Linked DNA regions of Mus musculus. The protein of the gene in region 1 purifies or fractionates together with the protein of each later gene. This does not show direct contact. Links are inferred from orthologs where the notes say so. Each region holds a gene or a part of one and is shown in the gene's direction. Other genes may lie near its edges.

What was found.
Region 2: the proteins of Tns2 (region 1) and Utrn purify together in Homo sapiens (affinity purification with mass spectrometry; 4 studies listed by BioGRID and IntAct, with this or other methods). This does not show direct contact. The link is inferred for Mus musculus from reciprocal best matches to the Homo sapiens genes TNS2 and UTRN.
Region 3: the proteins of Tns2 (region 1) and Sntb2 purify together in Homo sapiens (affinity purification with mass spectrometry; 4 studies listed by BioGRID and IntAct, with this or other methods). This does not show direct contact. The link is inferred for Mus musculus from reciprocal best matches to the Homo sapiens genes TNS2 and SNTB2.

The regions. Positions count from the first base shown.
Region 1 is NC_000081.6:102,101,144-102,106,431, forward strand, and holds the start of Tns2 (tensin-2), read left to right. Parts: upstream 1-1,790; 5' UTR 1,791-1,943; coding exon 1,944-2,018; intron 2,019-3,386; coding exon 3,387-3,495; intron 3,496-4,195; coding exon 4,196-4,233; intron 4,234-5,100; coding exon 5,101-5,139; intron 5,140-5,288. UniProt on the Homo sapiens protein: Tyrosine-protein phosphatase which regulates cell motility, proliferation and muscle-response to insulin. Phosphatase activity is mediated by binding to phosphatidylinositol-3,4,5-triphosphate (PtdIns(3,4,5)P3) via the SH2 domain.
Region 2 is NC_000076.6:12,858,588-12,864,210, reverse strand, and holds the start of Utrn (utrophin), read left to right. Parts: upstream 1-2,475; 5' UTR 2,476-2,564; coding exon 2,565-2,643; intron 2,644-5,623.
Region 3 is NC_000074.6:106,934,156-106,939,553, forward strand, and holds the start of Sntb2 (beta-2-syntrophin), read left to right. Parts: upstream 1-1,584; 5' UTR 1,585-1,646; coding exon 1,647-2,166; intron 2,167-5,398. UniProt on the Homo sapiens protein: Adapter protein that binds to and probably organizes the subcellular localization of a variety of membrane proteins. May link various receptors to the actin cytoskeleton and the dystrophin glycoprotein complex.

The DNA.
Region 1 (5,288 bases):
AACCACAGCTATTTCCAGGAAGGAGGGGTGTGTGGGTGGGTGGAGGGGTTTCTCCAAACAAACCCAAGGCTTCAGAGTGAGAGGGGGCCCGGCTGGGGAGAATCAAAAGAGCTCTGGAATATTCCAGGCAGGAGGTGGGAGGTGAGGATCTGGTAATGCTGCCATTCCTCAGGCACTGTTTGCCCTCAGCTACTTTCAGAAATACTCCACACTCCCTGCGGTGGGGACGCGCAGAGCCAACTAGACACTTAACTTTCTAGATCTAGGTGGGCAGTGTAAGTTCAGTGAGGGCAGAGGCTGTTTGGGAACCTGTTCCAGAGGAAAAGACTTTCAGTCCCACCAGAGGTTGCAGATGTAGGCCCATGTACCATAGGAGCAGAGGGGAAAAAAAATTGATCAGGGGAGGCGCTGCAGTGATCCATCTTCCCCAGCAGGGCTGGGTGCGGAATCAGGACAGCCCCGGTTGCCCACCTGGCCATCGGCCTGGAATGTCCTGGGACACAGCCAGAACTCAGGTGGGGATTGCAGAGCCAGGGGCCCTCTCCAGTTACAGCACGGTGCCCCACCCCTTGCCACTCACAGGGCCTTCTAGCCAGGGTACACTGGCAACGATGGGCTTCCTAGAGAACAGGCATGCAGCGGGAAGAGGCCTCAGACTCTTCAGTCTGACAGGTCTTCTGAAGGATCCCTGGGGAGGACTAGAGCAGCCCTTCATCTGTCAGATGGGCGTGAGGCAGAAAGAGGAGAGTCCTGTGGGACCCTGCAAGAGGTGCCAGAACTGGAGGAGTTGCACTGGGACATTCAGTAAATACCATGCAAATGAGGGTGACACGGTGTACATTCTTTCAAATGACAGCTAGCTACAGCATTCCAAAGGCTGCTGTCTAGAGCTTGGGCTGGGAACCCCCAGGCTGTTGACCCTTGTTGTAGGAAGGTTGTTCCATCCTTTCCAAGGGCCCCATACACCTCCTTCCCTTGACTCCTGGGACAGGAAGTTGGCCCTATTCCCAGGAGGGAAGCAGGAGGCCCTAGAGAGGGTGGAGTATGTGTTGGGAGGGGGCCTCCTGTCCAGTCCTCGGGTCCAGTGACAGCCACAGAGGAAGGAGAGACAGGCCAGAAGAGCCATGAAGGTAGCGCTCAGATTCTGGTGGGCGGGTGGGGTCCCCAGTAGAACCTCAGGTGCAGGATCTGGGAGCTAAGCCAGGAACTGTGGGTTGTATCTGGAGAGGAGCAGCTGGGGTGTTCAGGAGGAACCTCCAGTGCTTTGGGTTACAGCAAGATGGACCATTCCTGTAAGCCCTTAGCCCTTCCCGCTGGAACTTGGCGTTGAGGAGGGTACTATAAGATCCTTCTCCCGTCTGACAGGGAAGTTAGCCCTCATCCCTAACTTTCTTTCACCCTGAGGATGTGGAGTGCTGGGCTGTCAGGGGTACTGGTTCCCAGCAACACTCCCTTCCCACAGGAAATCCCAAGGGAGCATGAGGGTTCAGGCTAGAGACTGGCCGGGGACACAGTGTTCTCCACTGGCCCTTGAGCCCTGCCCTGAGACCTGAATTCCCACCCTGTGCCACTGGCTGATTCCAGGGCTGGATCTCAGGACTGCAGACCCCCTGCACACAGTGGCCCACTGGGTGGGAGGCAGCTCCAGAGATGGGGAGAGCCAGAGATCTTAGGCTGACACTCCCAGCAGGGTAGATCCTGGGAATCTGATCTCCTGGCCTCCCCCACATCCTCCCCCACCCCACTTCCTGGAGCAGCGACCTGCCCCCTTCCCGCCTGCACTTCCCTCCACTTCCAGGGCCAGGCTTCTCCACACACCAGCCAGACAGCCTCCCCTCCACCCAAGGGAAGCGGCTGCCTCGGCAGGCTGCTTCCAGGAAGCCCCAGGCCAGGCCCCAGCATTGTTCAGGCCCTGCAGCCAAGAGTCCAGCCAGCCAGACACCATGAAGTCCAGCGGCCCTGTGGAAAGGTTGCTCAGAGCCCTGGGGAGGAGGGACAGCAGCCGGGCCACCAGCAGGGTAGGAGTGCCCACCAGCTGGGCAAAGGTGGGGCAGGGTGGAGGTGCGGACAAGGCGGGAGGGCCAGGATTCAGGCCAGACCAGACCCTCTTCCTAGTTTCAGCCTCTTCTCCTGGCTGGCTCAGCATCCCCCTCCTCTTTCTTTCGCCTGACCCCCTGAGGTGGCTAGGGTAGGGTAGCAGTGTGATTCTAGCATCTGTTTTGACTTCTCTGTGTATTTCCTGGCTTGAGCCTGGATAGGCCCCGAGGGTTCAGCTAAGAGCTCAAGCCCTGACCTCCGGGGGAAGCTTGAGGGAAAAGGTATGGGAAGAAGGCAATGAGGGAAGGGAGGGTGCCTTCTACTGACGTCATCTGCACACGACGTCATCATCCACAAGTGCGTCCAAGTGTCCTGGTGGGTCTCGCCCCCAGTCGTTAAGGGACCAACGCTGCTCCCATGTTATTCTCCTCTTCACACTACGGTGGGCAGATCCAGGGAGAGGAGGGGACAGCGGGAGCTTGAACACACAGCGGTGAAGAATGTGCAGTGGAGTGGTGGGAGGAGTGAGGGAGATTGTCCACAGACTCTAGATAGGAGGGATGAACTGGGGTGGGAGGGGTCAGAACTGCAGTGAAAACTTGCAGTGAGTAGGGACTAAGGGGGACCTGGACAACTGGTGGCAGCCCAGCCAGCCACTGACCTCACTACCTCTGGGTGGGGAGGGGGCATCCGGAGAACCTGGCCACCCCTGTCATAACATGCAGAGGCAGCGAGGCAGCTGCCTGTGTGTCCCCACTGCTATTCCTCCTTCCGAGCGAACGTCTTAGACAATTGCTGCCTGCCGCCTCAGTGCACAGAGAGTAAACATGTTGTTCTGACCGTGGGGGAGGGGGTCATATTAGCTGCCTGGAGCTTGGGGACACTGAGAGCCAGGGGCTCAGAACTGGCTGCAGTCAGTCTGGGTATTATGTGATAGTGCTTGTGTGTCCTGGCCGTCAGCTCACAGTATACAAGCCTCTTGTGGGGAGGGCAAGATGGGAGGAGAGTCAGACCCCCCACTCTGCCAAGATTCAGAAAGCCCTCACATTGGAAGTGGGGGTGTGTGTGACAAGGACATCACATAGCTCCGCCACGTGAGAAGTCCTGAGTGAACCCTTAGGGAGGAGTTGACCCAGCCAAGGTGACGCAAGGGGTCACATTCCAAGCCCTGTAGAGGACAGGCCTCATGACTACCCTGAAACAGCTGTGGCCAAGTGTGCCTTAGAGTTCACAGACTTTTGGCTGGAAGAGAGGGAAGCAGCATCGCTCTAAGGAAAGGTCCCTGCCCAGCCTTGGAGATGAGCCCACTAGGAACACATACCCCTATTTGTCTGTCATCCCACCCGCAGCCGAGGAAAGCAGAACCACACAGCTTCCGGGAGAAGGTTTTCCGGAAGAAAACTCCAGTGTGTGCAGTGTGTAAGGTGACCATCGATGGGACCGGTGTCTCCTGCCGAGGTGAGGTGGTGCTCTTGGTGCCTGAGCCCTCCAGGCAGCACTTCTGTGTGGCTCAGGCTCTAGAGACAGGCAAATTCAGAAACAAATGCCCTCACTCTTCTTGACACCCACCTTGCCACAGCCCAGGAGATTTGTGACTCTACCACCTTCCCATCCTTACCTGTGACTAGGGTCTTCCCTTCCTCTTGCTCCTCCTCCTCTTCTTCTTCCTCCTCCTCTTTTTCTTCTTCCTCCTCTTCTTTTTCCTCCTTTTTCCTTTTCCTCCTCCTTTTCCTCTTCTTCCTCTTCCTCTTCCTTCTCTTTTTCCTCTTCTTCCTCCTCTTTTTCCTCTTCTTCCTCCTCCTCTTTTTCCTCTTCTGCCTCCTCCTCTTTTTCCTCTTCCTCCCCTTTCTCTTCCTCCTCATCTTCCTGTTCCTCTTCTTCTTCCTCATCCTTTTCTTCTTCCTCCTCTTCTTCCTCCTACTGTTCTTCCTCCTCTTCCTCTTTCCCCTCCTCACCTCTATTCATCCTAGACCCCAACCCCCGGCCCTCTTCCCTTACTCCAGAGCAGAACCTGTTGATAACCAGCTCTGTTCTTCAACTCCTAGTAACCTAGTGTACCAGGGTCCCAGAGCTGGCTTCTAAGGCCTGTGGGGCTGGAGCACAGTTATTTTGACTATTCCCGTAAGCCTCTGCTAACCTCTACCCTTTCTCTCTCTAGTCTGCAAGGTGGCCACACACAGAAAATGTGAAGCAAAGGTGAGTATGTGGTTCTATCTAATGGGGAGATGGTGTCTTTCCCTGTCCAGACAGGCATCTTCAGCCTCACTGGCATGGGCCACCATGTCACCCTGTCCCCTGTCACTCACTCCTGGACACCCCTTCCTGGGTGGCAGGGGTGTTGTGTTGGGCTCTTTAAGAAACACCCTACTCCACCCCTGGAGGGTTGGCCCAGGAGGGTGGACAGTGAGACAGCGTTTGTCTTGGTGCTGTGCCCAGGCTGCAGCTGGCGAGAGGATGAGGGGGGGTGGCTGCGGGGGGAGGAAGGGCGGGGTGGATAGAGAGGGAGCAAGATTTCAGAGACCAGGCACCCTGATGGGAGGTGCCTTCCCTCTGAGGAAAGGGTCCTCAGGATGCCTGCGTTGGTCTCATCCTGGGTAGTGAAAGCTGAGCCTGTTCAGGTATAATACCCTGTAGCTGGTACCCGCTGTCCACTGAGAACCTAAGGTAGCCCTGCATCTCTGAGGAACGTTCCTGGTGCTCCATCAGTGCAGGGGGTAGTCCCAGGGCCTCAAGCTAGCTTGGGGGAGCTCTGTGCCCATGGGTGGGGTCTCAACGGTGAAAGAGGCTAGTGTCCACCCCTGGCCATTGCCTGGCTGGCTGGCTCTATATATAACTCCTGTCCTGCCGCTGGATGAATGGGGGTCTGTGTGGGCAGGGGGCTGAGAGCCAAGAGCAACAAGCAGGGGGCCCAAGGGGTGGGAGACCGAGAGGCAGAAGCAAGGCTCCCTTAAATAGAGGAACCTCAGCTAGAGGTTGTTCATCAGGTGACAGCCCCTGCACCTTCCTACTGAGGCCTGGCACCCCATTTCACCAGCACAGCCTTTAACTCCCACCTCTTTCCAGGTGACTTCATCCTGTCAGGCCTTGCCCCCTGCGGAGCTGGTGAGTGTGTTCTAGGATGGGGCAGGGAAGGCAAGGAACCTGACTAGTATCCCCGGGGTCTGGTGGTCTCAGAGTGGGTCTCCAGGAGGTTATGTAGAAATGAGTGCTGTGGTTATTGGTCAGTTGTCCTCAACAGATGGCTGTCGGAG
Region 2 (5,623 bases), on another chromosome or scaffold:
AAGAGACAGAGAGACTGAGCTGAGAGACTGAGCTTGGCTCCTCTCTGGGCAGTGTAATCCAGGAAGCTCGGGAGCAGAGAGGAGCAGTGTTTGCTGGCGTTCTTAATGAACGGGTGCTCCTGCAGGGCAGATCTTCAGATCTTTAGGCCCTGGAGATATTTCTCACAGTTACTGAAGATTGGATTGTTTTATCTGAGTGGTACCTACCCATGTACAGCAGAATTGGTGTCATGACCCTTCCAGAATGAAGTTTTTATCAGTGGGCAACATGGCTATCTACATTTCTACATACATCTACAAGCCGTACCACCCCTGAGGTCCAGATCCGTATTTCCCGAATGCTCCCTTTCTCTTTCTGTGTCTCAGAAGCACCTTACACTGAGAAAATCCAAACCGCATCCATTCTTCTCTGTAATGTCCTCAGCGGTTCCCAACCGAGTAGTAGTTCGTCTACTTCTGAGCTGCCCTGTGCCAGCTGAGTCACTCAGCATGCTAGTATCCTGCGTCTCTAATGCCAGGGCTGTCCCTGAGTCTTATTGACCTTTTATTTAATATCCTGTGTATCTATTTATTTTTTTTCCATCTAATCCATTGAGGCCACAATCACATATTGCTTATATTAACAGCGTTATAACAGAGAGATTAGCACAACAGATACAGAGCTGCTCGTATTTTCTTTATAACATTTACTTCCTCTGCCTGTGTGTATCTTTGCATGTATGCTTGTGCGTATCGATTTGTATATATATAAATGCATAGACGTCGAAGATCCTGTCATACTTCTCACTAATGACTTCATAGTGTCTCCTACAATGGAAGATATCCTCCTCCCTAACATCGCTGCTAACTAATCCTGCAGTGTAACATTGGTATAATAATATTGCCTAAAGTAAACCCTAAAATGTTTTCTTTGAAAATTCAACCCAGGATAGTATTTGGTGGTCAGGTCTCTTTTGTTTTGTTTAATCCATGAAGAAACTACCTTTCTTTGGGTGGTTTTTGTTTGAGTGACACTGGGCCTGTGGGATGTGTGTGTTGTTTGTGTGTATTATAGTTTGGAGGCCAGAGATTGGCATAGTGCCTTATTTTTGAGACAGGATCTCTCATTGAACCTGGGGCTCGCTGGTTGGCTATGATCCTTTGTTTCCAGAGGAAGTAGTTGGAAACAGGCATTGCTGGCACATGCCCATGCTTGCTTCCCTCTTTTATTTTTATAAAATTCGAGGGATTGAAGTCAGGTTCCCATGATTGTGCAGTAGGCTCTTTACCCACAGACCCATCTCCTAATTCCCTAGGCCTTTTGTTTTGATAGCCTCTTCCAATTTGTGTGCCCATGATAAGCCTCATGATTGATTCTCCGACAGACAGAGATACTCAACAGAGGGTGCGCTGTGATTCCATTTATCACCTGAGGCCCCATTGATGCTTTTGTAAAGTCTGGTCAAGCGTGGGATTATTTTTCTCTAACGCAGTAGCATGAAACAATTTCAGATGCAGAGAAGAGCTGAAATGTTTCCATTCGACATCTCCTTTCTCACGGCCTAAGTTCTTTAATGAGAGCACTGCTCTAATGTACTGTAGTCCTTGGTGCTTCCTGAGTTACTCTGGTCTACTGACAAGCCATGGTGTGAACGGGCTTATGTCACCTCTCTGATTGTCCTTCTCCTCAGACAGGTATCCAAGCCTCTCTAGGAATCTCTGGCCCCAGCTTTCTTCCTCGGCTGTGTGACGTGCTTCCCAAAAGCAGGACTTAGCCCCCTGCCTCCCAGTTCTCAGCGGCGCTAATATTTCACATACCAAGCTCTTCTCTTTTCTACTTGCCCTGTAGCTAGTGAACTTCTTCCTCTCCTTGAAGGATAGACCCAAATGTCATTGCTTAGGAAGGCCTTCTCAGTGGCCCTGGGCAGGTGTGACTCGTCCACTTTATGACTTTATGACTTTATCTTTCTCTTCCGGACTGCTGTCAGTCATCAGGGTTGTAATGAGGTCATTGATTATAGAGTGAATTTCATTTTATCCGTGAAGCTCGGTGTCCATAAGCCTCACTCACGTGGAAGAGGCTGTGCTAAATAAAGCCTCATGTGGATGTGCTCAGGAAGCCACTCCGTAACTGTGTCTTAGACTATATGTGGCTGGAGATGGCTTAGCAGTTAAGTACTTGACACCCCACCTCAGTATCCGTGCAGATGCCCGGCACATTTGGCAGCCTGTTTGTAATCCCAGCACGTGGGATGTGAGTTCAGGGGAACCCTGGGGTTCAAACAGAGACCCTGCTTTAACATAAAAGGTAGAGAGCAGCAGTTGAGGCAGACACCCAAGTGTCAGCCTCTGACCTCCACGTGCACATGCACACATGTACATGCACACCCACCCCTTTCACATGTGCACACACAGACCTGTGCCAGAAGCAAAGGAAAAAACAAATAAGGAATATGTTTCTGTATTTCTACTCAATACTTTCTCTTTTCCTGTTAGGTATTCATGCTAGCCTGGACCATTTTTCAGATTTAGCCTTCAGAAGAGGATCTGGGAAAGCCTTTGGATTATACTGAAACTCATTCAAGATGGCCAAGTATGGGGACCTTGAAGCCAGGCCTGATGATGGGCAGAACGAATTCAGTGACATCATTAAGTCCAGATCTGGTGAGTAATGGATGCATCACTGTGGAGCCCTCTGTATAGACTGTGTTGAAGACAGAGATTTCTTAGCTTGTTGTGCATTGTTCTTGTTAAGTAAACTTCTGAGAAACTGAATTCTGAGCCGTGAGTGACTATTGCTCTGTGAAAGGCAATCTCCAGTCTCTGTGTGGCCTATCTTACACTCCCAGCTTGCCTTTGTTACATTGTGTGTGCAGTAGTTTTACTGGGAGAAACTCCTGCCTACAGCATAACTGATGCTGCGCAGTTATGATGTCAATAAGATAGACAAGCTTAGTCTAACATTTACCCTTATTACCTGAAAACGGAAAGGAATCACATGCTTAGAGTAGCGAATACCATAGTTTCTGGTGGAAAGATCATTTTGTGGTGGGATTCCTTAACCTTTTGCCCACCTGCTAATTGCTGTTGGATGCTAACACTGGCATGTGACCTTCTCTTTCCTTTTAGAAATGTTAGTTTCTAAAGATACAGTCTTCCCCAGTGTGATCAAATCAGCCAGACTAAGACCGACGAATGACTTTCATGTGAACATTCGGATTGGAGGTCTTTGGATGCCACCCCACCCCCAGCTTATTATATAACCACTGCTTTTCAATTCTGGCTCTCCAAATGAATCAACTGGGAGTTTTTTTACAAATGCAGATGTGTTGGCTCTGCTCCAAACCCACTGAATGAAAATTTCTGTATTTTTAAAAGAGCTTCAAACATGGTTCCGAGACAGGCTCAAAGGGGAGATATTTTTGAGCAAGCATGGCCTTTTTAAGCTGGGAAAATTATATAGAGTTCTCACCTGGGTGTGAGCATTGTCCTTTTGTAACTCCAGCATTATAAACATTCCTTCGTGTCACTCTTCAACAACAACAACAACAACAACAACATTGAATAGAACTCAAAGGTGATATTTCCTGTTGGAAATGTCTGTGTGTTATGGTAAGAGTTCATTTCTTAGTCGAAACTGCTAAAATACGTGCAGGAAATGAGATCTCAGTAGGATATGCATTGCCCTTCGTGATGCTGGTTGTGCTTGGTCTGTGAAACGTCTGGATGTTACAGATAAGGCTGTGACTATGCAGTGGTTTTTGTAGCTTTAAGGACTCTTTGGGAAGTGCGTCGGCATGTTGTGTGGTGTATTCACTGTGATCTCCTAAATGTCATTTTAGGGGTACAGAATTCATATGTAGAGATGTGGAAAGTGACAGGAAAGTGGAAGAGAGACAGCTAGATGTCTCTGTACGTCTCAGAGTCTATAACTTGTGAGGCCAGGTGATCCTTCGCATCGTCCCGAATCAACCTTTATTACAGAAGACCTTGGATTCTGGGGTAGGAAGGTGGCTGCGTGGGTAAATGCTGTCGAAGCCTAGTGATCCGCGCTCAGCTCTCGGGACCCCAGTAAAGAAAGGGAGAGGAGAGAACCCTTTCCACAGAAACTGTCCTCTTACTCCATACGTGCACATTGGCATGTGCGCAGACACACATATACATCAATAGTAAATAAAATACACTAAAAAAAAGACTTTAGATATTTGTCACTGGTTCTCTGTCTTTGTCCACTAGAAAATAGTTTTATGGAAAAATTTAACTTTTAGAGTATATTCTGAGTATCCACACTTCCAAACTATTTCTTAAATTTAAAATGGCTATTTATAAAGTTAGTAAGGTCCATACATGGCTGGGGGTAATTTGTTACAGTGTATACTTTTTGGTGTTAAGATAGTTTGTTTATAAAATATTGTGGTGGTTTGAATAGCTATGGTCCCCATAGACTCAATGTTTGAGTGCGTGACCCATAGGGAGTAGCACTATTAGAAAATGTGTCACTGTTAGGACGGGCTTTGAGCTCTTTTGTGCTCAAGCGACACCCAGTGTGGCACACGGTCTTCTTCTGCTGCCTGTGCATCAAGATGGCTCCTCCAGCACCATGTTGGTCTGCCTGCATGCTGCTGTGCTTCCTGCCATGATGATAATGGACTGAGCCTCTGAACCTGTAAGGCAGCCCCAGTTAAATGCTTCCCTTTATGAGAGTTGCCATGGTCATTGTATCTCTTTACAGCAATAGAACCCTAAGGAAGACAAGTGTTATTTCATTTACTTTCTCATTGGTGTGTACATGGGGGTTTGGATGCTCATGCCACAGCACGCCAGTGGGGGTCAGAGGACAAATGTCAGCTTTCTGTGATGTGCCACGTGCATCCAGGAGACCAAACTTGGGTTTCTTGCTGAGCCATTTTGCCAACCTTCCGTGCTGCTTTTTTTAAATAGGGAACATCAACTGTTCGAATGACTCTGCTTATAGAGTTTCTTCCTAGGCAGAGGATATAAATGTACATTTAAGAAGTTGACTGTAGCACTGTTTACAATAGAAAAAAAGAGAGAGAGAGAAAGCACCATAAAAATCCAATTTGGACATGAGTTAGGTCATTGTTGCCTAGAGTGTTTAGAAATGACCGCCAGTTCTTAGGTTGTTACTATTTTATTTAAAGTCTGTGTTCTTAGTCAAATAACTCTAGAAATAGCTAGGAACTTACTGTCTCCTTACTGGGGTCGCACAGCTGTGTGGATGACGCAGCATCCCAGTGGAGGTAATTAAGATAGAGCGCATGACTGAAGCAGCGACGTGTTCATAAGAAGTGATGATATTGAGGTGTGTGGATGTGAGTGTATATAAACATTACAAACATGGAGGGTGCTATGAGGTATTGTTAAGTGATTATGATACAGGAGGCTGTTGATGTGAAAAGTACCCTTTAAAAGCTTGCCGGTGGGAGCCGGAAGATGAGTCAGTGGTTAAGAGCACTTGTTGCTTTTCTAGGTGACCTGGGTTCATTCCCACAGCCTATATGGTGGCTCACAACCCTCTGTAACTCCTAGGGTAGCTAATGCTCTCTTCTGATCTCTGAGGACAGCAGGCACTCACACAGTGTGCATGCATACACGCAGGCAAAACACTCGTACACATAAAATA
Region 3 (5,398 bases), on another chromosome or scaffold:
GAACCCTTCAGGACTTGGTTATTTGAAGCCTTGCACACTCACTACCTAATTCCACTAACCTTATGTCTTGTTCACATTGGCAACTTCCTAAGGAATCATCACAGATGGTTAATTTTTGTGTGTGTGTGTGTTCACTTGACTGGGCTAAAAGACGCCTGCCTGGATGGACAGATGTAAAACCGTTCTGGGTGTGTCTGTTTCCGGAAGAAATTTTTTCCATGGTGACCTGAGTAGAGAAGATTGTCCTCAACAGTGGGAACCGGCACCATCCAATCAGGTGAGGGCTGCCAGGGAACAGTAAGACGCGGTATACTCACTCTATGAAAACTGGGACATCGCTCTCCTGCCACACTTCAGGGCTCCTGGTTTTTCATGGACTGGGCCAGCTTTTACATAGTAGCTTTCCACTCCGACCCTGCTCCCCCGCTTCTGCCCCCTCAGGCCTCTCTGGTCTTCTGATAGCTTCAGATTTCTACCTAGTCCTCAGGTCTTTGGATTTGGATTCAGAGCCTTTTTCTGCAGATGGCAGATTGTGGAGTTTAGCCTCATAATCTTGTGGCTAATCTCGCACAATCTTTGTTAACTATATATACCCGTTGGTCTGTGGGGAACTCTAAAACATCAGCATGCTGCAAATGTCTTTGACCTTGCGCACTGTGGGTTCCCAGTGCTTAAGAAGACAGGTCCCGGGCTGGCGAGGTGGCTCAGTGGGTAAGAGCACCCGACTGCTCTTCCAAAGGTCCAGAGTTCAAATCCCAGCAACCACATGGTGGCTTACAACCATCCGTAACAAGAACTGACTCCTTCTTCTGGTGTGTCTGAAGACAGCTACAGTGTACTTACATATAATAAATAAATCTTTAAAAAAAAAAAAAAAAAAAGAAGAAGACAGGTCCCCTCTAATTACAGGCCAGCAGACAGGTGATTTTTAAAAGCAGTGACAAAGTCTTGGATCCACACCTTTGATCCCATGTCACTTATGCTGTGTCCCCTGCTTGTGCTCACACCAAGACTAACCAAATGTTGTTTTATCCTGTTCTTAGGGAGGTCTGCAGTCTTTTTAACCACAGAGAATCACACCTAGCTGGTTGCCTCTGTTTTTCTTTCCCATTAGACCACAAGCTCTCTCGGCTGAGGTGCATTTTATTCAGTGTGTCTCTAGGGCCTTAAAAGGAGCCCAGCACACCTCTGAGCGCTCAGGGCTGCTTTTTTTTTTTTTTTTTTTTTTTTTTGCAATGAACCAATCAATGCAAGAATGAACGCGCCAACCCGGCCCTGCAGGATCGCAAAGAGCCTCTCTACAAGCTGACTTTGCTCTCCCTGCCCGGGCAGCTCTCGTAGAAGAGGTGAGGAGTTCGAGGAGGTCACGGAGAACCAAAGCAAAGGACGGCGGGGTGCCTCGCTGCACGAGGCGCTGCCCACCTCCGAAGAGCTTTCAGTGAACCAGGACAACCTCGCCTCCCGGAAGCGGCCTCGCCGGCCTTCCCCCCGCCCCTCCGGAAAGTGGGCGTGGCCCTCATGAATAATGAATCGCCGGGGGGAGGGGAGGGGTCCGCCCCCCTCGGGCGGGAAGGGGGAAGCGCCGAGGCTGCCTGACTGGAATCGGGGGAGCTGCAGCAACGGCGGCTGCGGGAGCAGGGCCGGCCATGGCGGTGTGGACGCGGGCCACCAAAGCGGGGCTGGTGGAGCTGCTTCTAAGGGAGCGCTGGGTGCGGGTGGTGGCCGAGCTCAGTGGCGAGAGCCTGAGCCTGACGGGCGACGCCGCCGCAGTCGAGCCTGAGCCGCCGGCGGCCGCCTTCAACGGTCTTCCGAACGGCGGCGGCGGCGAGTCTCTGCCCGGGAGCCCGAACCGTGGCCTGGGGCCGCCCAGCCCTCCCGCGCCGCCCCGCGGTCCCGCGGGGGAAGCGAGCGCCTCGCCGCCCGTGCGCCGAGTGCGAGTGGTGAAGCAAGAGGCGGGCGGCCTGGGCATCAGCATCAAGGGCGGCCGCGAGAACCGGATGCCGATCCTCATCTCCAAGATCTTCCCGGGGCTGGCGGCCGACCAGAGCCGGGCGCTGCGGCTGGGCGACGCCATCCTGTCGGTGAACGGCACCGACCTGCGCCAGGCCACCCACGACCAGGCCGTGCAGGCGCTGAAGCGCGCGGGCAAGGAGGTGCTGCTGGAGGGTGAGCGGGGGCCGAGCGGGAGGCGGCGGGGTGGCGGCCTGGGCTCGCCTGCGCGCACTTTGTTTCTGCCCACCCTGACGCCTGTGCGGGGCTCGCCGGTTCCCTCCGCCCCGGCCACCAGACCTCCTCTTGTGGGGCTCCAGAGTGTGGAAAAACTGAGGCGTCCAGCGAGAAGAAAGTTGGGCAGCCACCGAAGTGTTACTTTACCGCCCCTTAGCGAGACTCAGCTGAGATTTAGGGGGTGGGGGGAGCAGCAGCCGCGTGCGAAGCTCACCCCTAAGTCTTGCACGATAAGCTGACACTAAGCACTAACTACCGGGAGAGCGATCGGCTCGAGTTCTTTAGTCTCCTTTTTTTCCCTGTTGGGAAGCGTTGGTTGGACGCTTTCTTTAGTCACCTCGGGCTCCCCGGGCGGGCCGGTCTATTAAATCCATCCACACCGATGCCAGCAGTTTGCTTGGGCAAACCACCAAAGCACTGGTTAATTTATGGGAATTTAACCCATCATTGGCTCTCAACAATAACCAGAGAAGATCACAGCACTTTGTGGAAGGCAGAGAGCTGATACAGCAAGTTTGTGAGGTTAATGAGCCTTGTTTAACAGTGGAGGCTCACGTGTTTGAGCATTTTACTGCCAACTAGAGTTTCGCCCCTTTTGCAAGAGCCCGGTGCCAGCTTCCTATCGCTGGCAGGCGTGCTGCCGCAAGACCAGTAGACATTTTATAAGAATCCTGAAACGGGTACCATCACATATGTGTGAATAGCCTTTACCTTAAGTGTAGATGCGATCTTGTGTGCAGCGTTTCACGCGTATCGATGTAACTGAGGCAGAATTAAATCTCATCTCCAAAGACTCATACATGTTGAAGGTGATGGAATATTGTAAGTGAGAAGCCAGTTGCTTGCTTTAGAAATAATTGCAAGACCAGCTCCGTTTTTCGCTGTTGAGTCAAGTCATTCCAGGAGCATTTATTGCTGCTAGCTGTATAACAGAGAATGTGAAAGGTGCTGTCCCTGTTGTATCTCTGCGGTGGGAAATGATAGAAAATGCAAAACAACTTCTAGGGAGGAATAACATCAAGTGCTTGACTCTGGTACAAGGTACAAGATGCTAAGGGATCACAAATTTAAGGCGTATTTGCTGGTAGCATTTTGGCGTGGTTTACAGCCTTGTACTCAAGAGGCAGAGACAGGCAGATCCATGAGTTTAAGAGGAGCCTGGTCTACGTAATGCGTTCCAGGACAGCTAGGGCTACGCAGTAGGACTCTGTTAAAAACAAATCCAGAAAAGAATTTGATGGAAATGGGCTTAGTCCAGGAGGGCTTTCCAGGAAGTGGTGGATATAAGTGTGCAGAGATGAGTCAGGAGGGATTGCTGGCAGGAGAACTGAACGGAGGGGTTGAAGTTGGGGAGAAAACCACCAGACTAAGGGCAGAATTAGAACTTAGGTTTTTTCTTTGTTTGTTGGCCTGGAATTCAGAGATTGACCTGCTAAGTGTTAGGATTAAAGGCATGTTCCACAGTGCCCAGCTTGCGTGTGTATAGTGTGTGTGTGTGAGCATGTACACATTACGGCCAGTCTGGCCTCAAGGTGGTCATCTTACCAACTCAGCCTCATGAGTGCTGGGATTGACAGGCATGTACCTCCATAGCCCGTTCAGTTTTCTCTTAAAAATTTTAAACTTTTTTTTTATGCATATGAGTGTTTTGCCTGCATTTATATAGCGTATTATTATAGCTGTGCCCCACATGCGTACCTGGTGACCTTGGAGGCCACAAGAGAGATCCACTGGGACTAGAGTTACAGATGATTGTGAGCCCAGAGTGGGTAATGGGAATCAAACCTGAGTCCTCTGTGAGAGCAGCATACTTACCTGCTGAGCCACCTCTCCAGCCCTACTTTTCACTTTTTTGTAAATCTGATACTTGGAAGCAATCAGTTTATAAAGAAATAACATGGTGTGCAGCAGTGTTGGTGCACGCCTTTAATCCCAGCACCGGGAGGCAGAGGTAGGTGGATCTCTGGATTTGAATCCAGCCAGGTTTACAGAGTTCCAGGACAGCCAGGGCAGAGAAACAACAAACAAACAAATCAGGGGTTAAAGAGATGGCTCAGTGGGTTAAGGCCCTGTACTTCATTTTCAGAGGACCCCAGTTCAGTTCCTAGCATAAATCGGGTGGCCCACAAACACCTGGAACTCCACTTCTAGGGCATCTGACACTTTGTGGCCTCCCAGTCACCTGGACACATAATTAAAGATTGTTAATTTTTTTTCTTTTTTTAAGTGCTCTAATTGTGAAACTGCAATGCCCCAATTTTATAATGTCTTATTTATGAGTCTTGTTTATATCCCAATTTTAGGTAGGGCCAGTCAAGTGCCCAGAAACTAGCGTTAGTGAAAGAAGTAAAAACACAACACAGTTGATGTAGGTTTGGAAAAATAGTTGCTACTCTAATTGAGTACCTAGACACTGGTCTAGGTAAGTATTTGGGTATTACTTCTTAGAGCCAGAATATTGAATTTCATCCAGTTTTGTGGTATGGAGTAGTGATGGATAGACAGTTCAGCCCTTTATGCCATATTAACATGCAAAACAAGAGGTTCTTGTTTCCCAGTGGCTTGAAGCTAGTGCTCATAGCTATGAAATGAAGGCCGTCTAGTACATGCTTCCCACATTCATTAGTTCCCTCATAGGCCTTGGGTGCTCTTAGAAACAGGTTTACAAATGGTGGCATAGTAACATTTACTGGAAGCCTTTTTACCTGGTCTATGACTTTATTTTCCCATTTTGTGTAAGACAAACAGTTTTTGTCTGTATAGATGTGGGAAAGTCAGTATAGTACGTTTGTGGTGTTCCATTTTTAAGCCAAGTAAAAATAATTGCTCAAATACAAAATCCCTAAAAGAGTCCTTTAGTGAGCCAGACAGACGATTTAAAATTGAGCTGTTTTCTCCTCCAGACAAGATACTTTTTTTTCTTCCTTAAGCCAGAGTTTCATGCAGCCATGTTCTCCTCATTTTGATTCTGATCTTGAACTCCTGATCGTCCTACCTGTACTTCCAAAGAGCCACAGTTATTGGCCTGTGCTACCATGCTTGGCTGAGGTAGGCCACTTATAAGGGATAAGAGTTTAGAATATAGTGGGATGAACCTTGAAGCCCAGCACTTGGGAGACAGGCAGTAGGATCTCAGAGTCGAGGCCAGCCTGATCTACACAGTGAGTTCTAG